Oryzias latipes: one gene and its partners. The protein of the gene in region 1 binds, or shares a complex with, the protein of each later gene. Links are inferred from orthologs where the notes say so. Each region holds a gene or a part of one and is shown in the gene's direction. Other genes may lie near its edges. The genes, in order: plrg1, cwc15, bcas2, ppil2, gpkow, srrm1 and cwc22.

Region 1 (4,238 bases):
GTTTTTTTTTATTCTTTGAAAAGTCATCAGTTCTTTAAGTCCTTAAGGCTAAATTCAGGCTTAAACTTTTTTAAATTTTTGAGATCAAGCTGCAGGGAAAACAGGGGCCAGTCAGTGGAAGAGTTATGCCAACGAATATTCAGTTTGACACCAAAAAGAGTCAAATCAAGAGGCCCTATGAACACAGAACGCTTAAAGTTCCACTCTGATCGTCTTTTGATCTATTAGAAAAGCGTTCCCTGTGCTTTTTAATTGTGCCACTTTTTGGCACAAATTGAAAAACGTATCGTTTTCTAAGACATAGTTTCTGCAGTGCAACAGTAAGTCATTAGAAAATCACCTCTGAGTTGTGGGCAGGACTGTTGGTGTGGAGCAATCCTGCCCCCCTTCCCCAAAGCACAGAGCAGGAAGCTTCTGACCCACCTAGGGTATTTTCTGCATATCAAATGCAACCTTTTTCAAACAGTATTTTTTTATCTGCTCCTGATTTACATTTGAATAAAGAAATACTCCGAAATGCAATTTGCAGCTAAATTTTCTTTATAAATGTCCTCCATCATGAGAAAAATGGCTGAAGAACATGTTAAAAACACAGAAAACACAATTTTCAGGTCTTTGATGAAAATCAACTGTGCTGTGAACCACTGAAATCAAAGGCAGGAGGTAGAAAATGAAATTACAAGCATAGATAAGGACAGCAAGAACTGAAGAAAAACCTGAAAATGTATCTTCAGAGCACTAATAATACATTGACAACCAAGAAATAACTGGAATCCAATTATATAAGATTAGATGATTGTACTATTTTCAGGCTGCTTTGGTTGTTGCAGGAATTTATCCAAATCAAATTTTCCTTTGAAATATTTACTGTAAATTATTTCATCTCTTAATAAATGAGTTCATTGCTTTTTTTGTGAAACCTTTTTATTAAAACAATATTTAATAAATAATAAAATTGGTTTAAAAGGGAAATTTAACAGCAAAAGATTAATAAACTAAAACAAATCAAACCAACTTGTGGATAAAATCAACAATTGTGAACTTCTAAATAGAGCAGACTCAGTAGTGTCCAGCCTACATGTATGAGAGGCTGGAAGAATGGTCATTAGCAAAGGGGAATAAGTAATTCCCAGACACTAGTTCTTTTTCACATCAAAAACAAAATGTTTTATTTTTTATTATTATTTTTTTATATGAACCCTTAATTTATTTCTGCACCAAATGTGTAAACGGCACAGAACTGTTTAAATTTGCCTTTTTACTGAATAATTAAAAAAAATGTTGAAACCCCCTAAAATATGTATATGTATTTCAAAACGTCCCGGAGAAATTGCGAAAAATGGGGGCTTGATAATAGAAAAACATAATCTCCGCCACTGTGAGACGCTGGGATGAGACGTACCGCCAGAGGGCGCTCATAAAATAAATCTTTTAGCCTTTCAGGCTGTTGTACTTCCGGGTCATGCAGACTCGTTTGTCGCGGCGGTGGACTGTTTTTGTCGCTTTGCTACACCTACGGTGTTCGTGGATTATATTCACCGAAAACTACTTAACTGCAGTGTGATATCAATCTTTATTATCGCCACAATGACCGAGGTGAGACTTTATTTGAGTTATTTGATTTTCTTTGGTCCACGCTTTAGACTCACACAGCACTGGACCCGTCTAACTACTGGATGTTAACGTTCTGAATCTTCACACGTTGTAGTGTATCCCCCCTGATAAATCACATGGACTCGTCTTTCAAGTAAACTTTTTTTTCCTTCTAATTGTTACAGGAAGTCCAGAAACACTCAGTCCACACTTTGGTCTTCAGATCCTTGAAAAGGACTCATGACATGTTCGTGGCTGACCATGCTAAAGCCGTCGCTTTAGATGATGAAAGGTATACTGAGCTTTTACATTTATGACTTCTGTATTTAAAATGTGTATCATCACTTTAGTTAAAACTCACGGTCATGCTAATCGTGCGTTCATAATATGTTTATTAGTTTATTATGCAATAGTTCACATCAAAAGGGTTACTTTAACCTTTTAGGCATGCATTGGGAGAAAATATATTTTTTCATGTTTTGATTATAAACATCTTTGGCACTTGGAGATGGTTTGTCTATATGTTTCCACTTCACGTGGGCACACGGGTGGGTTTGCGTTGAAGCTCCTCTTTTTTTTTTTCGTTTTAAGCCACAAGTTGAAGTTGGCCGTGAAGCTAAAGGCAGACTACAGTCCTGTGTTACACATGCCAGTGCTAAAAGAAGGAAAGGACAGGATGTCACAGTATCCAGACGGTCTCCACGACAACGAAGCTTACATGCAGCCGGGTGAGTGGGAAGCATCACCGTTCAGTGTTTTTGGTTTTAAATTGTAAAAATCTGACTTTTTTTTCTTGTTTGTCTTTGGTTTCCGACAACTTCAGCAGATGATCCTGAATATCTGATCACGGGAACGCACGCTTATCCCTCTGGACCTGGTAAATACTTTCCTTTTAGCCAAGCTTAAAGGAACTTTATTCATTTTTTTAGCCAGCTTTTTATTATCTATGTCTTTAACCCAACAGGAGTCGCCCTGACAGCTGACACAAAAGTGCACAGAAACCCCAGTGAGTCAGGAATCCACTCCTTGGCTCTGGCTTTACCACCATCACAAGCAAGGTAATCCTGTTCAGTCAATCAATACAAATAGTACTGAATCAACTTTTCGGGATTCATTGATATATCTATTTTTTGTCTTCTGATGGCTGTTTTAGACAAGAGTCCAGCCGCACTGCAGCCACAGTTGCAGAGATCCGTCGTGGAGCAGAAAGAGCTCACGCTCAGTCCACCGCTCTGGTACATCACAAGCTTCTTAAGCGCTTTTTTTTCTCACCCAGTCTTGGTTGACAAAATTCTAACGCAACAATCTGTTCGTTGCAGCTGCTCTTGGAAGGAGGCGGCACCAGAAATTCCAACCTCTTGAGGAGAACGCCGGTCATGCCCAAACCGCAGTGGCATCCTCCCTGGAAACTCTTTAGAGTAACTGCAAATTATCCTTGAACTCCTTTTCAGTTGTGTCAAATCCGGTGACGGAGGGGAAGCAACATCTCACGTGATTACTAAAAAGGTTTTTGTCACCTGACAGGTCATCAGCGGCCACCTGGGCTGGGTCAGGTCCATCGCTGTGGAGCCTGGAAATCAGTGGTTTGTGACAGGATCTGCAGATAGAACAATAAAGGTTATCTCTTCTCTATTTTTTATTTTATTTATACAATACGTTGTTCTGATTGTTTTTATACTGTTTTTACACTACAAAGCTTTTTTTCTTCTCCTTTTTGCATTTGTTGAGGTGGAACAGCAAAAAAAAAAAGAACCAGGAGTGTTTTGTTACAGGGAAAGGATATCATGAGACTTGCTTTTTCCTTCAGATCTGGGACCTGGCCAGTGGGAAGCTGAAACTGTCTCTGACTGGACACATCAGTACAGTGCGTGGAGTGGCGGTGAGCAGCCGCAGTCCGTACCTTTTCTCCTGCGGAGAGGATAAGCAAGTCAAATGCTGGGATCTAGAGTACAACAAGGTACAAGCTTCTCTTCACAATATCTCTAAAAAAAAACATTTTAGGGCTGTTTGAATATAAACAAAGACAAAAAGTTCAGTCATTTCTTTCTTTTTCTTCATACGTCAGAGTTTTGGTGTTTTAGTGACATGAGTATTTTGTGTTTTAGGTAATCCGGCACTATCATGGCCACCTCAGTGCTGTGTATGATTTGGACCTTCATCCAACTATTGATGTCTTGATGACGTGCAGCAGAGATGCCACAGCGAGGGTAAGATCGGAATCCACTCATTACTCTTTATATATGTCACACATGGAAGAAAAATCCTACATGACAGACAAGAAGTGACAAAGCTCAGATCTTTAAATAAATAAATACAGATGTATTAAAAATAATCCTGCTCAAATGTCTAGAGCTGCAGAAAAAAATTGTTTTTGTTTTATCATAGGAACCATAGTTGGGGTTTTTGGAGAAAGCAAAACACTTTTGAGTTCTTTTGTGTATGAACAAATGTAAACGCCCCTGTAAACAAAAGTTCAATTTAAGGACACTGATCCAAAAAAGAAAAACATTCCTCGTTTATCCAAAATACACCATGAGGGTCTGAAATCGTGGCAAAAACAAGGAAGTCAGACTATAATTGTTAGAATTAGGAATTCTACAATTAGTCCCTGGAAAGGAAATTTCTTTTTTTTAATGCCAATATTT
Region 2 (3,947 bases), on another chromosome or scaffold:
GTAAAATGTCTGCAAACAGGTGCAGAATTCTAATTGAAAGGCACAGAAAACAAAATATGAAGTTTAAGTTACCAATACTTTGTCCAGTCATTTCACTAGTTAATTATTGTACAAAAATTCCAGAGTTATGCCTGATTTTCATTAAATTATTTATAAATTGATTAATACTTTTGTCATTTCTCAGACATTTCTTAAAACATTGGAGGGGAGGGACAAGTTTGGTGCAATCCAAATATTGTTCAGTATTAAGGGGAAAAGGGGCAAATCATGTTCTCTCTTCTCCCTTTCATTTAAGAGTGTATTTTTGAGCCTAAGAGGTGTTTTAGATTTGTATTTTCACAATTATGTATTGATATATCTTTGGAAAAGAATAAAATAAACTCATCAAACTTAAACAGCAAACACTGAACAAATATAAACCAGTGTTTCTGTAGTTGAAGTTAAAGCCAAAGGCAGCAAAGAGTCCAACGGCACAAATCCAGAGAAACATCCTTTTAAAGAGGAAGGCATATTATCTGAGAAGAACATCTCAAAACCTAAGGATGAAGACTCATCAGGTCTAAAATGGAAAAAGACAGGAATTTTACATCTGTTACAAGTGTTTCAATTATGTTTAATAGAATCTACGTATCAAGACTGTTAAATAAAGTTAAAAATAATGTGTTCAATTTGGAATAAACTATATTTAAAAATCATGTTGTGATGTTAATGTTCACTTTGAGTGGAGAAATTAAGCTACAGGAAGACACTGAACCTGATGCACATTGCCCCATGGTGGCCACGTAAAATGTTTTGCAAACCCTAATCGCACATTTCTACAGTAATTCTACCGGTTACTTCAAAAGAAGAGACAAGATGACTCCTCGTAAACACTTCCTTGTTTACACCAGTGCTCAAAGGTTTTATATGTTTTTCATTTTAAATGTGAGTGTTGGTTTGCTGAAATCAGTAATAGACATTTTTGGCTGTAATGCTTTAGAATTCAACCATGTACCCTGGAATATCACCACAGCATTTTGAAAAAGAAAGGTGTAACAAAGCATTTTTGTGCTAATTCTTTCTCCTTTGGTACAATATAGTAATTTCTTTACGATAAATATCAGATTACATTTGAAATGAGTAATGCATTTTCCAATTCTTTTTAAACGCACCAACAGAATCGTATTCTTGACGCATGCGCAACAGCAATTTCAATCCGGAAGTGACGTTCTATGGTATCCTCTTTCCGCTAGCCGTGTAGTGGAATCGTGAGTATTTTTTCCAAGTCAAAGACGTTTTTTTACAGATGTTTTTTTGTTAAAACGGTATAAATATGATAAATGTAGCCATACATCTCGTTTGATTAGTGTGCAGTGAATCTTAAAACAAATAAGTTTTCTAAAGAGCCCAAAATGAGTTTTTTGTCTTGTCTGAGTGTTAGCATAATCAAATTTGGTGGCTAGTAATACCCTTTATAAGTATTAAAGTCTGTTTAATCGATAAATGTATGTATATGTTTTGTTATATACAACTGATGTTACCTTGTTTGTTCTGCGTTTAAAGTACAGTAGCTAACTGAAAATAACTGTACTCATGTTTGACAAATACCGTGTTGTTGTTGAAGCAGGTTAGGGATGACTACCGCAGCAAGACCAACGTTTGAGCCGGCGAGAGGAGGGAGAGGAAAAGGAGAAGGCGATCTGAGTGCCTTGTCCAAGCAATATTCCAGCCGAGATCTTCCAGGTCACACCAAGATCAAATACAGGTGGTTTTTAGTTCCTATTAAACTCTGCTGCGACAGCTCAGTTGAAAAAGAAAGCGATTGTTTGAAAGAAACATATTTAATCATGTTAAGATTCTCGAAGATTCAATCTGAATTATTTGGGAAATGGTCAAACCGGATTGATTAAATTAGTCTTTTTGTGCTATAATTATTAAAAAGTGGAACATAAATCTACACTTGATTAAATGTCTACATGTATAATGTGTTGGGTACAATTAAGCTAACCTCACGTTGGAGCATCACATGAATCAGTTTATGACATGGGGGGGGGGGGGGGCATGTGTGCATTTTCTTGTCTATTTAGTGTCTCTCCATGACCCTTAAGAAAATGTTAAATAATTTGCTCACAAATATCTTGCATCTAATAAGTCATTGCTCAGTATTAAAATGGTTATCAACTAAATTGTATAACCATAAAGCTTTTGTACATTTGGAGTACATCATTTAGTATTGATAATTCTTGATGGTTTGTTTGCTGCAGGTTATGTTTAAATTGTAGCTACAGTGTGTAGGAGGGGTGGTTTGCATTTACCAATTGTGCAAGTTCTACAAAAAATATTTTTACAATTTTCGCTATATATTTTTTTTTAATATGCATTCAATCTCTCACAGTTGTAGTGTATATGATGGAATCATAGACCTCTCATCTTTTTAAATTAGACAATTTGCTAAATATGTTACTGAGAAATACTTTTTCCCCCAACTGTACATGTTACTATTTATCTCATGAGTGGTTTTTGGAGTTTGTAGTGGGACTTAGTCTTGAAAATGCTATGATCCCTTAGACAGCCCACTCAGGATGCCCCCGAGGAGGTGCGTGCCCGTGATTTCCGTAGGGAACTGGAGGAGAAGGAGCGTGTAGCAGCACGTGAGAAGACCAGAGAGAGGGGACCAAGAGGTTAGTCTCTATCAAAATTTTAGACTTACTGTTTTTGACACACAAGTATAAACCAAGCAAAGTATGTATTTTTCTGTAAATGCAGTCTTTACATTTTTTTCTCTCCAGAACACACTACATCCTCTTCATCATCTTCATCATCATCAAAGAGGCCCAGGTTGGATCAGATTCCAGCTGCTAACCTTGATGCTGATGACCCTCTCACTGATGTAAGTGTCTGCACTGATATAATAAAGAAAACATTTCATCAGTACACCTACGGCTGGGAGATGAGACCTTTTCTCGCTGTTGCACTTGACATGATCTGAATAGATATTGATATTTTAGTGCTATAAAACTTTCTCTTTAAAGACTGTAAATATTAAAATTAGCAATAAAATGCCTGGATTGACTTAATTGGGGAAAAATCACTGTAAAGTTGACTTTTAACAAACAATTTCTTTTGTACAACTTCTCTGCTTTGGACACATTAAACTTGAAACATCCCAGATGGTTCATTTGTGGTTAATTTTAGCTGATCAGACCACCTAAAAGAACAATTGTGGGTAAACTTAAAACTTAGTTTTTTCATTCAAGAAAAAAAATGTACACAAAATTTAAAAAGTGTGGCAAACAAACTTGATTTAAATATGACCGTTGTTCCTCCTCTGGAAAAATTGAGCAGACTGGGGCTCTCCAAATGCCAGGCTGGTGTATTTAAAGGCTAAACTCCCTGCATTGCCTCTTATGGTCGGTCCCACAGTACAGCTCCTGAAGCTGAACCTCATCCACATCTACAGCTACCAGCAACACATCCAGCACTGGTACCTCCAACAAGGTGGCATTAGTTAAACTGATAACTGTAGCTGACTTAAAAGTGTCCAAGTGTGCACACTACAAATAAAGACTGATGTACTCTCTTGTAAATGTCTTTTATTGAGAATACGTCTGAAAATGTCAACTTATTTAAAAGTCATTAAACAGTGGAAAAGAACGTCAGCAGTGCATGGGGGCTGTCACCATTCTGCCATAGTTGTGCTGCATGAGGCCATTGCAGCCTTAATCCTCTCTAAAATCCTTCCTCTTCACAGGATGACGAGGATGAGAACTCTGATGAAGATAGTGATGATGACGACACTGCAGCTCTGTTGGCTGAGCTTGAGAAGATAAAGAAGGAGCGAGCCGAAGAGCAAGAACGCAAAGTAAAACATTTGATCCATTTTGTTTTGGTACCTCTGTGTTTACAGTCAGCAGCATGACTTTGTTCAAACACAATGTTTTAATAATCAAGGAAAAATATGATTCTTG
Region 3 (3,708 bases), on another chromosome or scaffold:
AATCCCTTTATGCATTTGACCAATCAGATATAGCCCTTTACGTTGTTGACCAATCGGATGGAGCTCTTACGTTAGATGTTGCCCTACTAATTAGACGAGGGTCATTTGGAAGATAAATTTAAGGTATTTTGACTCTTATTTATACTAAACATTTGAAGGGAAATGGAAATGTTTTTGTTGTTTTTGCTATTTGTTCATTTTTTGCAAGTTATATCTTCATCGCAATATTGATCACTAATATCGCATATAGCGAGTTTTCCTCATATTGTGCGGCCCTACATACTATAATGCATACACATACCAGTACTTCCCCTTTCTTGGCTATTTACTCTTGGTTATTATTTCTGTATTGTTAAGATGAAATGCCTTCAACGTAAACTTATAATTTTATATACATTATTTAAAAAAAAATATTGAAGTGATGATGAAGTATTTTTACAAGATTGATCACATTTGTATCAGAAGAAAAAGCTATTTATATATTTTTTTAGAACAACAACAAAAGAAAGATAAAAAAAGCATTTATTTGTTGAAATTTAATATGAAACTCTTTAAAGGTTTACTGTAGTGCAGTAATAGCTGAAACCTGAAGTTTGTTACACTACACATCTGCAAGAAGCTCCTGGGGATCTTCTATCAGTCTGTGGTCGCCAGTGTAATAACCTACGCTGTGGTGTGCTGGGGGGGGAGCACCTCAAAGACAGACTTCTCCAGGCTGGAGAAGCTGATCAGGCGGGCTGGTTCTGTGGTTGGCACAAGGCTGGACCGTCTGGCTACTGTGGCAGAGAGAAGGACACTGAAAAAACTGACAGGTATCCTGGACAATACCAGCCACCCTCTGCACATGACTATCGGTAGCCAGAGAAGCACCTTCAGCAAGAGGCTGCTCCTCCCAAGGTGCGGGACTAATAGACTGAGGAACTCCTTTGTCCCCCGGGCCATCAAACTCTTTACCACCCCCGGGCCATCAAACCACTTAGGAGGGGGGAGGGGGACAGAAAGGAAAGGGAAAGGGCCTGAATCACTTTTTTTTTTTTGTATATACTGTTTGCAGATATTTAAATTGTTTTTTACTGTTCTAATCTTCCTCATTTTTCTAGTCACTGTGCTGCTTTTTCCTTTTTCCTATATGTATGTCAACCAGTGCTGTATGCGATGGAGATGTCAATTTCCATGCGGGAACCTCCCAAATGGATAAATAAAGTTGTCTATCTATCTACTAAGCTGCAGTTCCATTCCTCAACGCAAGAGGCGACAATCACGATTAATACAACACCGTTGAGACTTTTATTTCGGAAAGTTTTGACCGGAAACGGAAGTTTCTGATTAGCCGTTTGGAGTCTGTTAGCAGAAAAGGACTTTCTTTCTTTATTTTTATTTTTTTTTACTGGGGAGCGAACATGGCTGGAACGGCCTCGGTCGCTGGCGAAGTGTTTGTTGATGCGTTGCCGTATTTTGATCAAGGTTATGACGCACCAGGTGTCAGAGAAGCGGTGGGTAAACAAGAATGCTGCTTTAAAAGCTAGCTAACTTATAGCTAGTTAGAACTGTTAGCTAGCGATGCCGCATGGTAACGCGCCGTTCAATGTATAGTTGGCCAAACCATTATTATTATGATCGCCTGTATATTTCTTTAGATCTTGTCATTATAGGTTTCTGCTTTGAAACTATACAAGTTCATAATTTAGGATGAAAACCTTCAAAGCCAAAGCTGCTGTTTACCTCATCGGGTAAAACAACAGCTGAGGGGTTTGAAACAGCCGGCAGATCTGGAGAACCAGGGTTTGGTGACACTAAGTTGACATGTTAGATCATCAGGGGTTGTGGCTCATTTTTAAATCATGTTTGTATGAAAAATGGAGAGAAATCATTTGTACTTGGCCCTTCAGGCCGCTGCGTTGGTGGAAGAAGAGACCAGAAGGTATCGCCCAACTAAGAACTACCTGAGCTACCTGCCCATGCCGGAGTTCTCGCCGTTTGAGGTGAAAACCTGCAGACATTTGAAACTTGATTCCTAGTCTGGGTTGGCTAACCGGTTTATAATCCTTTCCCGTTTTGTTTTGGGTTTCAGACAGAAATCATGAGGAATGAGTTTGAGCGATTAGCCGCTCGACAACCAATGGACCTCCTCAGCATGAAGAGGTAAAAAACACACTCTGTCTGTCTGTACAATATTTCTGTAAATGTAAAAGAAAGAGAAAGTTTAGGGTGATTCCATAGAACGATTCTATTCTGCTGTGGAGGTATGAGCTTCCAGCCCCCACATCGGGACAGAAGAACGACATTACCGCCTGGCAGGAGTGTGTCAATAACTCCATGGCCCAGCTGGAGCACCAGGCCATCCGGATCGAGAACCTGGAGCTCATGTCGCATTATGGAACAAACGCGTGGAAGGTCTACAACGAGTGAGTGGCGGCCTGTGGGTCTCACCCTTTGGTGTCTGACTCTTCTGAAGACTCAAAGCTAATGTTGTCCCTTTTCAGCAATCTGGCCTTCCTGATTGAGCTGGCTCAAAAGGAACTCCACAAGTTCAGGTGATTGAGGATTGGATCATACATGCCTGAAAAGATCCAACGGTTACCATGGTTACACATTTCTGAACTTATGCCGGCAGGAAGAAGATCCAGGACCTGAACTGGCAGCGCAAAAACGATCAGTTGGCTGCAGGCGCCAAGCTGCGAGAGCTGGAGTCCAAGTAGGTTCTTCTTAAGTTCTGGTGTTCTCGTGGATGAGGGGTGATGTCTGACTCTGGTTCTGATTCCCGCCAGCTGGGTGTCGCTGGTCAGTAAAAACTATGAGATCGAGCGCGCCATCGTCCAGCTGGAGAACGAGGTGGCTCAGCTGAGGCAGCAGCAAGGGGAGGAGAACAAGGAGAACATCCGACAGGACTTTTAGGAGTCACCTCACCGGGATCCGTTGGATGGATCTGATTCGGTTGGTTTGGACGACTCGATGACTGCTGGAGCGTAGCGGGTCACTCGACTCCAAGACGGATGATGTTTGAAAGGCGTCGGTTTCCTCTGATGGAACCGTTGGGTCTTTTGTGTTCAGTTACACACAAATCATGGTTTGAAACTCATGATCGATCGACATGATCGATGTCTTTGTAGCTTGTTGTACAGTTTCTAAGTTGTGGTGGAGAAAAAAAATCCTGTTTTTGATTCAACTTTTGTTTTTTATCGTTTTAATAAAATGAACGTTTCATACACATTGTTATTTTTTTCAGTCTTTTACCTGTAAGTCTCTGAGCTTCAGAGCTGCAGCTGATGAGCTGGAAGCTAACAGATGGGAGCAGCTGGATGGTTTGTCATTCATCCCTCTTGAAGAACAGTGAAACCTAAAGTCTGAGGCCTAGAGTGAGGCGGTTTTGTGTCAGATCCCCTGTCTTCTGTACATCCACTGAACTTTGATCTCAGAAATCTGCAGCATTTTGTGCTGATCCATTTTCAAAAGTCTCAGCGTCTTCCATGACTTCCTGGATGAGTCTTCATCTTTGTTGTTGGTCAGTGGCACAGAAAGGTCACAACACATTAACTCACAACACATTAACTTACCACACAACACATTAACTCACAACCCAAAAACTCACAAAACATTAACTCACAATGGAAGTAAAGCTGCAATGGAGGTGCTTTTATCCTGAAATTAATTAGTGTATATATATATATATATATATATACACATCAAGCTCAAGGCCCCAACTGACAG
Region 4 (3,500 bases), on another chromosome or scaffold:
TAGCTTGTTGTTTGGTTGTTTGTAGTTTGCCTGTTAGCTTGTTGTTTGGTGGTTGTTAGTTTGTTTGTTGTTTGCCTGTTTGTTCTTTGTTGTGATGGAAGCCGGTCTTTGACAGGTTCTAAATCTGTTTACAGCAGATGGGTTTTGATGTGAGCTTCTCCTTCTTTGTTTTTCTGCATTTTTCCGTCTGTACTTTGAGAGAACAGCATGTCTATTGGTTTAGAAATCATTGAGTCCATGCAGAAAGTAAACATGACACATTTGCCTGTGTCCCCGTCCAGGCCCACTACTCAACAGGCCGAGTCTCCGCCTCCTTCACCTCCACAGCCATGACTCCTTCAACCATCCATGAAGCCGGTAAGCTAGGATCTGTTCCTGTGGGTTCTCCTCTGCACGTCAGCCGCTGACCTGGTTTTGTCTGCTGCTTCTGCTGGGATGCAGCCGTGTTCACTGACTTTAAAAAGATAAATGAAAGGGAATAAAAGCTATTATTATTGTTTATGTCATTGTATCCTGAGGCGGTACATTAGACTTTCTATGAATTCTAATAAGGCAATGTTTTTTGGGTCCACTGGATTTCTCTCTGAAGCAGAACCGGCTGGTCCAGTCCTGACGCTCCTCTAAGGCTGGATTCAGACTGGACGCACTTGGTTCACGTAAAGTAAACCAGAACTAGTCTGAATACACCAAAGTGGACCCTGATCCAGAAGGATCAGGGTCCACTGGGACCCATCGTTTGAGGTGGTCTCGGTTATTTCCAATCGGACTGAGATCCAGTTCGCCCTGCGTTTCCACTGTCTGAACCCAATCTGCTCAGAGAGGAACGACTGAACCCCAATATGTCTGAGGCCTTTGGAGCGGCCCATGTGTGCAGCGGTCGCTGTTGTCTGCACGTTTCAGGTGTTCGTTTTTTTACCGTTGTCTTTGTGGCAGACGCCATCGCCGATGATGCTGTGCGGTACCAGTACGTGAAGAAGAAAGGCTACGTCCGCCTGCACACCAACCTGGGAGACCTGAACCTGGAGCTGCACTGCGATAAGGTGACGTCAGACGCTGCGTTTAAACCCATGCAGCCTTTATTGATGCCGTAGTCGTTTTTTATTTGATCTTTTTTCTCTGTTGGTACTAAAAACATCAGAACCATAAAACAAGAAACACAGTTTCCTTTCTTTTAAATACCGTCGTCATGACGACGTGGAGCGTTCGGCTGGTTTTTGGGAGTGTAGGATGGAAGTGGTGCAGCATCAGACCTGGAATGTGTTCGTGTCTGACCGTCAGTGTTTGTCTCCCCCCCCCCCCCCCCCCCCAAACCAGGTTCCCAAAGCTGGAGAGAATTTCATCCGTCTGTGCAAAAAGGGTTACTACGACGGGACCGCCTTTCACAGGTCCATCCGGAATTTCATGGTGAGGAAGAGACGCTTTTAGCAAATGAGGGGAGAAGGCCTGCACAATATACCGCAAATTTATCGTCATCGCAACATCAAGCTGTGCAACATGCATACCGCAAAAGACGGCAAAAATCGCAATAAATGGTTACCTCAAATTTGCAAAAACAAACTCATGGCAGCCTGAAATGGTGAACAAATGCAAGTAATCCCTTTATGCATTTAACCAATCAGAAGGACCCGTTTACGTTTTTGATCAATCAGATGAGCACTTTTATGTTTGATGTTTGCCTCCTATGTCGACAAGGGTCATTTGGAGTATAATTTTTATACTGTTGCAGTGAAATGGAAATGATGTTTTTGGTTGTTTGGCTATTTGTTTATATACCGCAAATTATATCGTTATCGCGATTTTAATCACCAATATCGCATATCACGAGTTTTCCTCATATCGTGCAGCCCTAGAGGGGAGGTCTGCTTCTGCTGAACAGGCCGGGTCCCAAAGGTTTGAATATTTGGAGCGTCTGCTGATCAAAAGCTGCAATAGATATTCACATATTTGGGTACTTTGATTAAAGAGGAAACGTCAACCCAAACCCGTTCAGATCCAAATCAAGTCCAGCTCCTTTTCCAAGCTCCCTCCGTCCTCCTCCTCCTCATGAGGAGTCGGGGGGCAGCAGGCTAACCGCTGGTCTCCAGTCCTCCATCCAGAGCCTTTCTCCAGATCAGTCAGGGAACCCCAAAGTCCAGGCAAGCTGAGGAACACGGTTCCTCTGGGTCTCCTTCCTGGGGGAGTTTCCCTGAGCAGCGGCTCTTTGCTGAGCTCCTCACCCTCCCTCTAAGGAGCAGCCACTGCCTCCCCCCTTCCAGACGTTTGCATCCAGGATCTCCTCCTGGTCCGACCCAGAGTCTGTAGGTGAGGGGAGGAACATGGACTCTGCTCCTCCTTCACTACGATCCACCCGTCAACCTTTCTGCACTCAGACCTGAACGTCTCCACGTGGAGCAGGAGCTCTGCACACATCCAGAGAACGGGTGATGGAACACAGCATCTCCATCTTCTAAAGCTGACCCTTTCTCTTTCCAGATCCAGGGAGGAGACCCGACCGGCACCGGCACAGGTAGGCGGAGCTTGGACCGCTTTCAGTGGCGGAGCGGCTCTGAATGACTGAAGGTCCTCTTTAGAGATGCTGAACCTGTGGGGACCTGAGAGAGGCACTCAGGGCTGCCAAAGATACCGAGGGGCACTTGGGGTGGGGGCAGTCTGTCTGTCTGTGGGGGGGGGACCGGGCCCATTATCTTCTATCTACTTGCTGCCACTGGGAATGCTGTTTCATAAGGTGAACTTCCACCTTATGCCGACGACTGCCACATGTTTGTCGCTATATGTGTGAGACCCGACCACATGACACCCATCTTGGTCTCTTTGAACGGCGGCGGCGGGTTCTAGGACCAGCGTTCCTCTTCTCCTGGAGGCTCGTCTCTAATGAGACGGAAACGTATTTCTGTTGTCTTTAGTATAAAATGCATTTGGGATCAGATGAAGATCCTCATTGATCCAAACCTGAGACTGTTGCTGCCGCAGAAACGCACAAAACTCTCCACAAAGAGAGGGAAGCTCCATCTCCAGCTGGACATCCCATAATGTTTCTTAGCTGGAACCCTGTGTGGTCCGTGCACACGGCTGCTGGATCTCTTCCTTTAGGGCAGGTTTGGTTCTGAAGTCTCTGTGGGTTCGGTTCTGCTCAGGTGGCGAATCCTTCTGGGGAAAACCCTTCAAGGACGAGTTCCGGCCCAACCTGTCCCACGCGGGCCGGGGGGTCCTCAGCATGGCCAACTCGGGTCCGAACACCAACAAGTCTCAGTTGTAAGGAACCTTGGTCCCTGGAACCGAGGAAACCCAAACACGAAACTGAATCTATGTTCTTCATGTTCTCTGGGCTGCAGCCTGGAGCAGATCTTCTTCAACGTCTCCTCCTCCTCCTCAGCTTCATCACATTCCGGTCCTGCCCCCACCTGGACAGGAAGCACACCATATTTGGAAGGTACCTTTCCAGAGGCTGATCTCCCACAGATCCAGCTTTGGGGCTGCTCTGATTGGTCGTCTTCTCTGCA
Region 5 (4,141 bases), on another chromosome or scaffold:
AAAATTGCATTGATTAGAGTGAGTGAAGGTGTCGGAGAGTGGAGGCAGGCGAGATCAAGCCGAAAATATACCAAGGTTGACGCCTCACTGTCGTTAAATGCGATCTTGTTCTGAAAGAACAATCCACATGTCTCATGTTTGAAGGTTATCTCGAGAAGTTCCAGAACACAAAGGGGAGGGCAGGAAAGAAAAGAGTTCAAGTACCGCCCCCTAAAACAGTCTGTGCACTACCTGGATCTGTGGTATCACCTTTCGCTGTAAAGTCTCACTTAAGGCAGGAACAGGAAGGCAGACATAATGTGAAGGCATGTTTAAACCAGATCATCTATCTATTCAGTCCAAACAGACTGATAACAAACTCGTACTATTTTCGTTCTAAACTACAGAAAAGCAATGGGAGAAAGATGTTACATTTTAAAATTAAGTTTTAAAAATCAAGTTTAATTTCTGATTAAATTTAGTTTTGGTGTGGCCTTTTTCTCATGATGGTGGACATATATAAAGAAATAGCACTTCTGAATATACAGTCAAATCGTTGTGAATCAAATACTGATGGGAAAATATTTGTTCGAACATGAATGTCTGTTTTCCCTGTCTGAGCTGGCATCTGGCTCAAAACTGTACAGTTCGATATCTCCAATACTGGTCACCATTTTTGTTGCACCTCTATTGTTAGGTTGGGGTTGTGAGGGGCTGTAAGCGGGAGAGAGTGTAAACAAAAGGATGATGGGAAATGAAATGAGGACAGGCTAACCCTGCTCCAACATTCCCATCTACAAGTCACAAGTCATAGGCGAATTTCTGATTAAATACTGCAGCTCTGCAGAACCTATAGCCTAGAAAACGACACAGATTTTTTTAAAATTCCCCAAAATGGCATCACCATAAATAAAAGATCACTGGGAATGCGTTTACAATAGATCAAAAGATGATTGGAGTTGGGACTTTAGATTATAAAATGAATCAATCAAACTGGTTAGATTGATCAAACATTGTTTACTAGTTTGTGTTCAAGGGGTCAGAAATGAGTGTCAAACAACTTGATCTAAAGGTCTAGATTACTTTTTTAACTTTCTTTTTTTAATTTAAGCATCTAAAACACAAGCAAAATATGCTGAATGTTTTTGTATTAGTAAAATGTTTTTACTCTTTATGGTTTTTTGTATGTAATATCATTTATTAAATCACTTTTACATTAGTTTAATTGATTTTTGTCATTACTTTAAACAGCTAAATATAAGCTATGTAACTTTACGCTTTGATGCTTGATGGGCAATGTAGTCAGAAAAACAAAAGAAACGCTTGAGGGCGATGACCAACACTACAACTCCCACAATACACCGCTTCAGCGTGGATCTTCAAAAGCAGTCATGGCGGCTCAGGGAGAAGGAACAGCGGCTTTTAAATCTGTCCCATTTGAGGACAAGGGCCAGAAGAAAACATCGATGGTGTCATTTGGGTTCACAAAAACAGTTAACAAATTTAAAACCCCCAGCGCGGAGGAGTCGAAGAAGAAAGAAGAAAAAGATTACTTGACCGGGATTCACGAAAAGGAATTACAAAGGTAAGCTAATGCTAATAACGCCTAGCATCAACGTAGCATTTGCGTTTCCGAATCTATGAGTAAAATGTCTTTAATTTAACATATACGCTCTGTGTTTGTTTCTTCTTTATTTAAACAGGAGAGCGCGTGTTTTTAAGTTGTGCTGTCTTCTGGTTATTTTCATTTTTTTGTGTCCTTCAGCTCAAAACAAACGGAGAAACCCAAAGAGCTCATCATCCCTCTGATCCAAAAGAACCGCTGGCACAAGCCCGACCGAGCGGGCCAGAACACGGAAGATGACGGTAAAGCTCAAGAAAAAGGCCAAGACAGCGACTCTGTGGAGTCCCAGGCTGTCAAAGAACTTATTGAAGGTAATCATTAAAGCTTTAAATGTCATCCCTTTATTTAGTTCCTATCATGGAGATGTTTACTCTAAATGTTTCTATAAAGCTCTTCTAGGAAAGTGAAAGGTCTAATTTAGGGTAAAGGATGTTCTTAGCATAATAAATTGACAGATGCGTCTATTACTTAATCTTAATGGATCAAAATGTAGATGATGTGTTATTTTTTTTACAAAGTTCACCATGGTTTTATGATGCCCTGGACCCACCTCTGTTGCCATAGAAACCTGAGGTATCATCCTCTACAGACAGGCACACACTGGTCATATCACGTGATTGGACCAGTCTGCTTTGTTTTTATTCCCAGTATGACATCCCGAGCCCCAAGTATTTCTTGTGTTCTCATCCTCAGAAACTGTATCTGTTGTTTTCTGAATACAGTAAATGACGACGGAGTTTTAGGGCCACCAAAAAAAAAAAAAAAATTAAAATTACGACATTTTATCTCGTAAATTTACGAGAAAAAGTCATAGATTAACAAGGAGAAGACACCGAAGTTGTCCGTTTATCGGATCATCGCTTGAAGATGAAAGATGTGGAGCCTTTTGTGAAGCTTTATTTTCGGATTATTATAGGTTTAAAACAAAGATTCTGAACCTTTGGCGACTCAAAATCAGATTATTGTCAGTAAAGGCGGCTTTCCGAGGTTCAGTGTCAGCGGAGTTTCATATGTAAAATAAGGACCTAATACTCCGTCGTAGTGAATAAATCCTCCTTTTAAAAACAAAAAACAAAAAAAAAAGGTTTGTTTAACTGACCTAAAATTATCAGACATTCCATCCATTCATTCTCTAAACCTACTGAATCCCCCTCGGGGGATAGGGTTGCTGGAGCCTGTCCCAGCTACTGATGGGTGACAGCAGTGTACACCCTGGACAGGTCGCCAGTTCGTCACAGGGCCACACACTCACTCTTAAGGGATCTTTTAAGTGGACTGCTGGAGGAAGCCGGAGAAAACCTACTCCGGTACAAGGAAAACATGCAAACTCCACCCGGGATTTGAACCAGAGCCTTGTCGCTGTGAGCCAAGGGTGCTAATTAATGCCTACATTCTCAGGCTAAATCAAATCTTGTATACTCAATTGAAGCCTCTTTTTCTTTCTAATATAGGGCATTATAAGGATCCTATAGTGACAACATTTTCAAAGGCAATTTTTCAGATAAAAGACTTCAGTGTCACATTTCTAGATGTGTACTAATTACTTACAAATGAGTAAATGACTAAAGAATTCTTAAAATGTTTGCATCAAAAGTTAATTTACTTTGTTGTTCAATAAAACCAAAAAAAAAAGACAAATTTCTTCCTCAAATACCTGAAAAAACTCACTGAATAAAGGATATATTTGTGCTTAAAATCTTTAACGAATGTGGGGACCTTTTGTTGATCACTTTTGTTGCCTTTAACCTCTCCAAGTTTACAGTTGAAAGGTCCTGGTTTAATGTCAAAGCTGCACCTACTTATTTGCAGTGCTTCTATATCTAAACTTTAATTAATAAAGAAATATAAAGACTCATCAGCTCTCTCATGTCTCAGATTCCCGGAGGCAGCTGGAGCAGTGGCAGAATGGGTCTGAATCAGAAAAAAACCTGAACCTTTCCATCCCTCTGTTGATGCAAAACAAAGTGCCAGAGGGCTTCGAGGATGGAGACCTAATAAATGTGGGGCTACGTCCTGAATCCGTAAGTGTATTTCATGACCTTTTGTGTGTTTTCCATAAAGGAATCATTAATTCTTTGACCGCATTTCCATCGTATGAATGATTAAACAAGTCCTTCGACTAGAACAAAGATTTAAATTGCCCACTATAAGTTAAGGAATGCATATTAAACTGGATGAACAACCTAAAAGCTTGAAGTCCTAGTCCGATCATATTTTGATCTATTGTAAAAGCTTTCCCACGTGATGATGCAGTTTTTGAAAAACCTGTAGTTTTCCAGGACATAGCTTATGCAGAGCAGCAGGAGTTAATTCAGAATTTGCGTCCGAGTTGTAGTCGGGACCAATGGCACAGAGCAACCCCGCCCCCCCTTCCTTTCCCCATAACTGAGGGGATGAAGCGGGGAGCTTGTGGCCCTGCCAGCATATTTTTTCATCTGCTCCTGATTCACAACGATTTGAATAAAGAAATACTCAGAGATGTCATTTTGAACCTTATTTTCTCAATATATGCCCTCCTTCATGTGAAAAATGTCACAA
Region 6 (3,931 bases), on another chromosome or scaffold:
GCATAAATGTAGATTGGAATTCTTTACTAGTGGAGTTTACAGATTAACTGAGTTGAACTTTGTTTACCTGGAAAAACATTTAGGAATAATAAAATAGTTTTTATACACTCCAACAACCAAAACTATGTGGTTGTTACTTTTTCAGCTCAACACCGACTCTGTAATCTTACAAAGGCACTTCTAATAAAGTTCCATACAAAGTGCCTGTTTTTATAATTATATAATACAGTTTTTATAAATGTTCTATGAATTAATTTGGTTCCATTTATCCACCACATCTTAAAGTCCGTTCAGTGGAGAAATAGTCTGACTTTAAACCGGTCACATGTAGGTGACACAAGGAACAGCTTGTTAGGATTTAGCATCACAGCATCAGTGTGTAACGACACCGCTGTTTCCACATCAACACTTTGTATTAAACTTTCTGTTGCTGCTGTAAATCAAGCAAGTTTATCCTCCAGTTTTTTTTCTGGATCCTGTAAAACATCCTCACATATTCTGCTGCTTCATCAGCTTAAACTGAAGGTAACACGGAGGCAACTAGCAGAAGTTAGGGCGTGTTTTTGCTTGCTAATGTTTTCATATCTGACTGACTTTACTTCCATCAATGAAAGTCCGAGACAGCAGAGAGCTGAGAAGATAAATTCTTGATTTTCTTTTATCTTCTTCCCAAAAATAAATTGTCTAAAACAAATTCAAATTAATTGATTACATCAGTAAATTGCCCAGCCCTAATTTAAAGCTCAAAACATAAAAACAAACAAATAAAATGTTAAAACAATAAAAAGTCAAACATTATAAAAAGTGCCTTAATAATACAACACAAATAGCAAAACAGTAAAACGCATCAGCAGAGCTTAGTCTCATGCTGTCAAAAGCGGTGCAAATACCTTGTATTGTCCTTTTTGAGTTTCCATACTGATGAAAACGTTCATTTGCGTTTCAGATGAGGAAAAGAATGATAAAGGGGGAGCAGCAGACTCCGTGCAGCAGCGGCGTCAGTATCGAAGACAGAATCAACAATCTTCCTCAGGTTCCCCTTTTTTTTTTATATTATCCACCCTGTAAATACATTTTAAACTAATTAAATACAAATGCTGTCTTGTGCTTTTTCAGATAGTGGAACGTCCTCCTCAGAGGATGAGGGGCCTAATAAGTCAGCAGCAGGGCCAGGTGCCAGAAATGGTGAAGTGAAGAAAAGGCTTAGCCGCAGCCCTTCACCCCGTAGACGCTTCAAGGAGGCCTCACCAAGGTCACACACCTGGCTGTGTTTGCATATTTTTGACGCTTTCTGTCATGAAGTGTTGAGTGTTTTTCTCATCTTCATTATTTTTACTTGTATAGAAGACGACGTTCTCCCTCTCCTGGGCGCAGACGCCGCACCCCTTCACCCCCTCGACGCCGCAGATCTCCCTCTCCCCCTAGACGCAGGTATAAGAAACTTCTACTAACTTATTTTTAGTTATAATTTTGGTGCTTGTTGTAAATGTAAAAAGAAAAATTGTATTAAATCTCTGATTGTGGCTTTCTTAGGTCTCCCTCTCCTCCACCCAGACGTAGGTCTTTGTCCTCTAGGCGATACTCGCCTCCTATCCAGCGTCGGTACAGCCCTTCACCTTTGCCTCCTCAAAAAAGAAAGATGTCCAATTCGCCGATGAAACGCATGTCGCCAGGTCCAAAGCGGCGTCCCTCCAGGTCCCCAAAGCGCAGAAGCTCCCCTGTTTCTAGGAGGCGCTCACCTCCCTCCTCTTCATCTCCGCCTAGACACAGGAGGAGTCCCGTGATGCCTGTGAGGTCCAACAGGGATACGCGATCTCCCGTTGCAGCAGGCAGGCGCTTTTCTCGATCACCGGTTAACCGCAGTCATCCTCTAAGGAGGTCCACCAGCCCCCACAGACGCTTTGAAGGCTCTAGTGCATCTCCATCTACTCAGAGGAGACAACAGTCCCCATCCCATAGTAGTAAGCTCATTCGCAGGGTATCTCGCACTCCTGAGCGCCGTAACACCCAGAGGTAAGGAAACAGATGTGCTTCATCTCAATGATTTCCTTGTTTATCTTGAGATTTTCTCCTGATGCCAGCTGTATTTTCACAGATCCTCTCTAAGCCCTAAACCCGTGAGGCGGGTGTCTTCTCGGTCCAGATCAGTTTCTCCTCAACCACCAGCACAGAAACGTCTGGCCCCCGCGTCTGTTTCTCCATCGCCTTCTCGCTCTGCCAGTCACTCTCCTCCGCCACCTCCAGCTAAAAAAGCCAGCAGTCGTTCTGCTAGTCAGTCTCCAAGCAAGGTTAGACCCCACCGACAAATGCGATGAGAAATCTGTACCGTCTATTCACATTTACTATCTGTGGTCATGTCTGGTTTCTTTAAGCCAAATGCTTTTTTTTATTGCAGATCTCTGATGGTGATGGCAGCGGAAAGAAAAAGAAGAAGAAGAAGGAAAAGAAGCACAAAAAAGACAAGAAGCATAAGAAACACAAAAAGCACAAGAAGGAAAAAAGCTCGGTCACTGTGACTGAAGAAAGCCAAGAAAACCCCAGACCAGAGGAGGACGATTCAAAAGATTCAAGAAAGGTAAAAGCAAACGCAGTATTTTCTGTAAAGTAGTGGCTGTAAAATGTGTGTTGATTGCCCTTGTGGTTAACTCGATGCTTAATGGGTATATTTACTCTGTTCAGGAGTCTGAGAGCGAGGTGGACGACGGTTTGGACGACTTGGAGAAGCACCTCCGGGAAAAGGCGCTGCGCTCCATGAGGAAGGCCCAAACATCTCCATCACAGATGTCTTGAAAGCAACACGCTTCTGGAGTTTTCAATCACTTTTGACAATTTTGTTTGTTTTGTTCTTTGTTTCCATTTTTCATCAAAGTGGTTCGGCTTTAGAATGTACAAATTGTTTATCTTTAGTCTTGTTTCCTTTTTACTGGTTTGATACATTCTGGAGTGTTGGAGATTTGAATTCATCAGTGTATTATCTAAACTGTCTAAGCTTACTTTCTAATGGTTAAACAACAAAAAAAAGTTAACTTTCAGTTGAGCGGGTTGATACCTTCATCTGTGTACAGTAGAGGAATAATTGCATGTGCAGTGATCGTCTTTGTGCATGGACCACCAACCTTATAAGTGTAGAGGGAAAGCCACCATACAGTAATCCACTGTTGCTCCTTTTATTTTTTTTATTTTTATTTTTTTGTGATAAAAACAGTGACATGATACAACAAGGTCTTTGGCATCACTGAACTTGCTTTCTGACTTTGAACTTACTTTGTTTCAAAAATTAAAACCATTTAAATTGAGAGATGTTTTAAGTTTTTCTAAATTAATAGGTATGCATTTTTGTTTGATGTACTGAGCTAATCAGTGTGGGGCTTCTTTAGTATTTGTATTATCTTTAGCTCTTGTCATACTTTAAGAATTAAAACTTTTCTTTTATAAACGTTTTATTTGGTTTACACATTTTCCCGCTGAACTTTTCAAGACGTATGTCAACTAACTTTACTACAAAGCTAAATGCAAATAATGGAAGAATTTAAAGAAAATCTGCCAGCTTTGAAATTGGGTTCCTTTCCAGTTTTCCAGAACTCCTTCAGGGGTACCGCCCACATTTCTATGAGTTTCCTCGCGCCGCTGATGACATCACGGTCTTATATTCCCGTTTCTTCTTCCCAACGTCATCACTCATCCTCGCGCCTCCACGATGGTTTTGTAGCTTAGCTAGCCTGCGGGTAGAGAAACGTTGAACCGTTCACCTGAGAAGCCGGGAGCTTCCTCGTCCGCTCCGCCGTGTTCACCGCACCGGGAGATAAACCAGAGACTCGGGGGGAAAGGAGGAGTTTGCTGGAGAAAAGAAGTGTTTAGTCGGGCGTGGTGGCAAGAAAACGGAATAGTTTTTTTCTTCCCACCCTACAAACTTCAAAGTAGCATATACAAT
Region 7 (3,204 bases), on another chromosome or scaffold:
AACAAATAGTCCACGTAGCGCTGCACTATTGCTGCAGTCAAGATTCGGCGATATATGCATATATATATATATGCTGATCTTTCCGATGGGTTGAATAAAGAATCAGTTCAGAGAGAAAGTTCTCCTCTTACCGCTTGTTTTTGTCCAATCGATGAAGCAAAAGGTTGTTTTAAAGAAGCCGGCGCAGTGATACGAAACATTTAAGCTATGTGACTGGAACTTCTTCTTTCAGCGTGCGGTCATCCTGTGGTATATCACTTTTTAATGCACACCCAGCAGCCAATCAGAATCGAGTATTCACCCAGACCATGGCATAAATTCAAATAATACACAGAAGCTCATCAATGTTTGAATCTTTCAGTAATTTTTTTTTAAACTAAACCTGACAGAAGTACCCCTCCCCTATAATTACATTAACAAAATATCAATAAAATCCCTACAAACCAATTAACTTTACGCAATAATAGACAGTTTTATTAATCTCATAAAGAAATACTATGTCAATTTATTTATATTTACCAACGTAAGAAGATTTTTAAGCTATTTTAAAGTGTTAAACTGTAGATCTGTAAAACTAATTTCTGGTATATGTGATTTGCTGCTTTTTCCTGTATTGTGTACTGTATTGACAGTATCGCATCTAAAGAAGCAGAAAATAAACCATTAAAACCTTGTTGCACTTCTCCCTTTAGGACTTTGCAGCCGTTCTTTGAAGGTCTTTTTCCTCGTGATAATCCCAGAAACACTCGCTTTGCCATCAACTTCTTCACCTCCATCGGTCTGGGAGGACTGACGTGAGTTGCAGAGACTCCACACACACTCATCAGACTAACTTTTGTTTTCCCTCTAACTGTTTAGCTGCAGAATGAGCGACTTTAACACCAACGTTTTCTCTCTGTCAGAGATGAGTTGAGGGAACATTTGAAGAATGCTCCAAAGATGATCATGACCCAGAACCAGGAAGTTGAGTCCTCTGACTCCTCATCTTCCTCGTCGTCCTCCTCAGATTCCTCCTCAGAATCTTCTAGCGAATCTGATTCTTCATCAGACTCCTCCTCCTCCTCCAGCAGCTCAGGTACATCAAGCCACAGAGAAGCTTCTGTTTTTCTCTTTACTGCAGTTGTACTGGTGAAACTAGCAGCTCCTTATATACTCTGATTATATAATTTTTTTTAAATAATATTTAAGGAGTTGAACTACAGCTGCGGTCCTTCTTTGATGCAGAAGCACCGACTTTAGCCCAGACTATGACTAGAACACATATAAATCTTAAAGAATTTAAGACTTAGAACATAGTTTTTCAGTAGCTACAGAACCTGGAATCCACCATTAATTCTCAAAACAAGATTTTAAGAATAAATGGAATGTTCTTGCAAAAATGAAAGGAGAAAAGTCAGATCATGTCTAAACTTTGGCTTATATTCAATTGGATTTTTGTCAGCTGGAACAAATCAGAGGAGCTAATGTGGAAAGAAATCTGTTTTTAAGATAAAGCAACAAATTAAGGTGACAAATTGTTGTTAACTTCTAGTTGCCTAAATATATTTTTTGCTTAAAAAAAAGTCACTGTTGGCTTTCATGTAGATGCTAAATTAAGGTAAGTTTGGGGGCGTCTGGGTTTGTTGCAAATTTGGATCAAAAGGTTCATAATTAACTCACGAAATCACCAAGAATCTTCTAGAGTTTCCTGTGATTTCTACAAACGAATTATTTTTAATAGTACAGAGAAGTGGCAAAAGAGAAGTCTCTGTTTTTTTCTGTTTAGCTTGTTTTTTTCTTTTCCTGATTGGCTGTTGACCTTGTCAATCAATCTCTCCCATCCCATAGCTTCACTATAAAATCAGGCCCTAACGTTTTAACTTGTGAATAAACACTTTTCACACCATTTTTTCCCCCGTGTTGTCTTCCAGACTCAGACAGCAAACACAAAAAGAGAAAAGGACGCAGAGAAGAGAAGAAAAAGACTGAAAAGAGCAAGAAGAAGGAGAAACCTGACAAGAGGAAACACAGAAGCAAGCGGGGCAACGATGAAGACGACGATGACGACGAGAAGGCAGCGAGGAAGGACCAGAGGAAGCACGCACCAGATTTGCCCGAGCGCGCCCACGAGGACTCCCGACGGCGTAGGCGGGACGAAGGATCAGAGGAGGAGGAGGACAGAAGACGAAAAATGGACAGAGCAAGAGATGGAGAGAGAAACATGGAGAGGGAAAGAGGGAGGGATAGAGGGAGGGAGAGAGAGGTTGAGGAGAAGAGGGAGAGGGAGAGGAATAAAGAAAACCGAGACAGAAACAGAGATGACCGCAGGAGGAGATAAAACTCCACACCTGCAGCAGGGAGGGATGACCTCCTTCAACCCACCGCTACCGCTCTGCTGCTGTCGATCCGGGACCCGCCGCTTATTTTCCTCTTTTATTTTCTCTATGAAATGAGATCTAAACTGTTTTAGAAGTTTCTTTGTAAATTGTGAGTTTTCCAGTCTTTTTGGCTCATTTGTAAAGAGTTTAGTTTTCTTGCAGGAGATCTGTTTTTGGTATGGAGCTTTTAAAGGAACAGTTCGTCCTTTTTCTGCTGTAAAAACTGTCAAAGTGGCGCCAGTTTCATTGAAACCGTAAAGTGGCAAATATTGTTAATTCTTTATTACAAAAAAAATTAAGTTCTTTAAAACTTTTGCAAATAAAAAAACGTATCATTGATGAACAAAGTCTGTGTGTACTTTTATTTTCTTAGTTGGAGCCTGACTTTTTGACCTGCATGAAGCTCTCTGGGAATGAACTTTGCATCCTTCCAACTGAAATTTCCTGACATTTCTTTTGCTAAGATGTCATTTTTTTACTACCCAAAAGAGTCTGAAATGAATTGAATATTTGAGAACGCACGAAATGATCAAGAACTATAAAGTGAAAGAGAGAAGGACCACCATAAATGTTTTCTCTCCATTGCATGTCACCTTGATGAAATGTTGATTTCTGATCTACTTGGAAAGAAGAGTTTTAATTTAAGGATGGCCTAAAAATCTAACAAGATTCTCTACAAAACCCCTCCAAGATTTTACCTATATTTGATTTCATGAATCTTCTTTCACCGAATAGGGGCTCTAAGTAAAGGTTTTTTTGCAGAATTTTACAATTATCAAGCTTAAAATGTTTCTCTTGTTGTTAGATCTAATTGTGCAGATCTCCACCAACAACTTAACATTTCTTC

What was found.
Region 2: plrg1 (region 1) and cwc15 share a complex: the UniProt entries of both Homo sapiens proteins name them as parts of the PRP19-CDC5L splicing complex. The link is inferred for Oryzias latipes from reciprocal best matches to the Homo sapiens genes PLRG1 and CWC15.
Region 3: plrg1 (region 1) and bcas2 share a complex: the UniProt entries of both Homo sapiens proteins name them as parts of the PRP19-CDC5L splicing complex. The link is inferred for Oryzias latipes from reciprocal best matches to the Homo sapiens genes PLRG1 and BCAS2.
Region 4: plrg1 (region 1) and ppil2 share a complex: the UniProt entries of both Homo sapiens proteins name them as parts of the minor spliceosome. The link is inferred for Oryzias latipes from reciprocal best matches to the Homo sapiens genes PLRG1 and PPIL2.
Region 5: plrg1 (region 1) and gpkow share a complex: the UniProt entries of both Homo sapiens proteins name them as parts of the minor spliceosome. The link is inferred for Oryzias latipes from reciprocal best matches to the Homo sapiens genes PLRG1 and GPKOW.
Region 6: plrg1 (region 1) and srrm1 share a complex: the UniProt entries of both Homo sapiens proteins name them as parts of the minor spliceosome. The link is inferred for Oryzias latipes from reciprocal best matches to the Homo sapiens genes PLRG1 and SRRM1.
Region 7: plrg1 (region 1) and cwc22 share a complex: the UniProt entries of both Homo sapiens proteins name them as parts of the minor spliceosome. The link is inferred for Oryzias latipes from reciprocal best matches to the Homo sapiens genes PLRG1 and CWC22.

The regions. Positions count from the first base shown.
Region 1 is NC_019859.2:20,800,946-20,805,183, forward strand, and holds the start of plrg1 (pleiotropic regulator 1), read left to right. Parts: upstream 1-1,438; 5' UTR 1,439-1,587; coding exon 1,588-1,596; intron 1,597-1,778; coding exon 1,779-1,885; intron 1,886-2,184; coding exon 2,185-2,321; intron 2,322-2,416; coding exon 2,417-2,470; intron 2,471-2,557; coding exon 2,558-2,651; intron 2,652-2,746; coding exon 2,747-2,828; intron 2,829-2,912; coding exon 2,913-3,011; intron 3,012-3,117; coding exon 3,118-3,210; intron 3,211-3,400; coding exon 3,401-3,550; intron 3,551-3,698; coding exon 3,699-3,800; intron 3,801-4,238. UniProt on the Homo sapiens protein: Involved in pre-mRNA splicing as component of the spliceosome. Component of the PRP19-CDC5L complex that forms an integral part of the spliceosome and is required for activating pre-mRNA splicing.
Region 2 is NC_019872.2:16,000,765-16,004,711, reverse strand, and holds the start of cwc15 (spliceosome-associated protein CWC15 homolog), read left to right. Parts: upstream 1-1,147; 5' UTR 1,148-1,247; intron 1,248-1,603; exon of another isoform or gene 1,604-1,606; 5' UTR 1,607-1,613; coding exon 1,614-1,744; intron 1,745-2,547; coding exon 2,548-2,660; intron 2,661-2,768; coding exon 2,769-2,869; intron 2,870-3,730; coding exon 3,731-3,841; intron 3,842-3,947. UniProt on the Homo sapiens protein: Involved in pre-mRNA splicing as component of the spliceosome. Component of the PRP19-CDC5L complex that forms an integral part of the spliceosome and is required for activating pre-mRNA splicing.
Region 3 is NC_019865.2:942,938-946,645, reverse strand, and holds bcas2 (pre-mRNA-splicing factor SPF27), read left to right. Parts: upstream 1-1,296; 5' UTR 1,297-1,400; coding exon 1,401-1,493; intron 1,494-1,889; coding exon 1,890-1,982; intron 1,983-2,071; coding exon 2,072-2,142; intron 2,143-2,243; coding exon 2,244-2,405; intron 2,406-2,483; coding exon 2,484-2,534; intron 2,535-2,614; coding exon 2,615-2,695; intron 2,696-2,768; coding exon 2,769-2,895; 3' UTR 2,896-3,208; downstream 3,209-3,708. UniProt on the Homo sapiens protein: Required for pre-mRNA splicing as component of the activated spliceosome. Component of the PRP19-CDC5L complex that forms an integral part of the spliceosome and is required for activating pre-mRNA splicing.
Region 4 is NC_019867.2:622,324-625,823, forward strand, and holds part of ppil2 (peptidyl-prolyl cis-trans isomerase-like 2), read left to right. Parts: intron 1-281; coding exon 282-357; intron 358-933; coding exon 934-1,040; intron 1,041-1,314; coding exon 1,315-1,404; intron 1,405-2,472; coding exon 2,473-2,506; intron 2,507-3,134; coding exon 3,135-3,252; intron 3,253-3,373; coding exon 3,374-3,430; intron 3,431-3,500. UniProt on the Homo sapiens protein: Has a ubiquitin-protein ligase activity acting as an E3 ubiquitin protein ligase or as an ubiquitin-ubiquitin ligase promoting elongation of ubiquitin chains on substrates.
Region 5 is NC_019865.2:21,307,923-21,312,063, forward strand, and holds the start of gpkow (G-patch domain and KOW motifs-containing protein), read left to right. Parts: upstream 1-1,341; 5' UTR 1,342-1,370; coding exon 1,371-1,564; intron 1,565-1,744; coding exon 1,745-1,914; intron 1,915-3,478; coding exon 3,479-3,624; intron 3,625-4,141. UniProt on the Homo sapiens protein: RNA-binding protein involved in pre-mRNA splicing. As a component of the minor spliceosome, involved in the splicing of U12-type introns in pre-mRNAs.
Region 6 is NC_019880.2:16,885,006-16,888,936, forward strand, and holds the end of srrm1 (serine/arginine repetitive matrix protein 1), read left to right. Parts: intron 1-946; coding exon 947-1,033; intron 1,034-1,116; coding exon 1,117-1,252; intron 1,253-1,344; coding exon 1,345-1,431; intron 1,432-1,533; coding exon 1,534-2,013; intron 2,014-2,095; coding exon 2,096-2,288; intron 2,289-2,395; coding exon 2,396-2,575; intron 2,576-2,679; coding exon 2,680-2,790; 3' UTR 2,791-3,431; downstream 3,432-3,931. Other genes in the region: clic4 (chloride intracellular channel protein 4), read left to right, coding at 3,930-3,931. UniProt on the Homo sapiens protein: Part of pre- and post-splicing multiprotein mRNP complexes. As a component of the minor spliceosome, involved in the splicing of U12-type introns in pre-mRNAs. Involved in numerous pre-mRNA processing events.
Region 7 is NC_019879.2:6,690,272-6,693,475, reverse strand, and holds the end of cwc22 (pre-mRNA-splicing factor CWC22 homolog), read left to right. Parts: intron 1-692; coding exon 693-794; intron 795-902; coding exon 903-1,075; intron 1,076-1,910; coding exon 1,911-2,317; 3' UTR 2,318-2,704; downstream 2,705-3,204. UniProt on the Homo sapiens protein: Required for pre-mRNA splicing as component of the spliceosome. As a component of the minor spliceosome, involved in the splicing of U12-type introns in pre-mRNAs. Promotes exon-junction complex (EJC) assembly.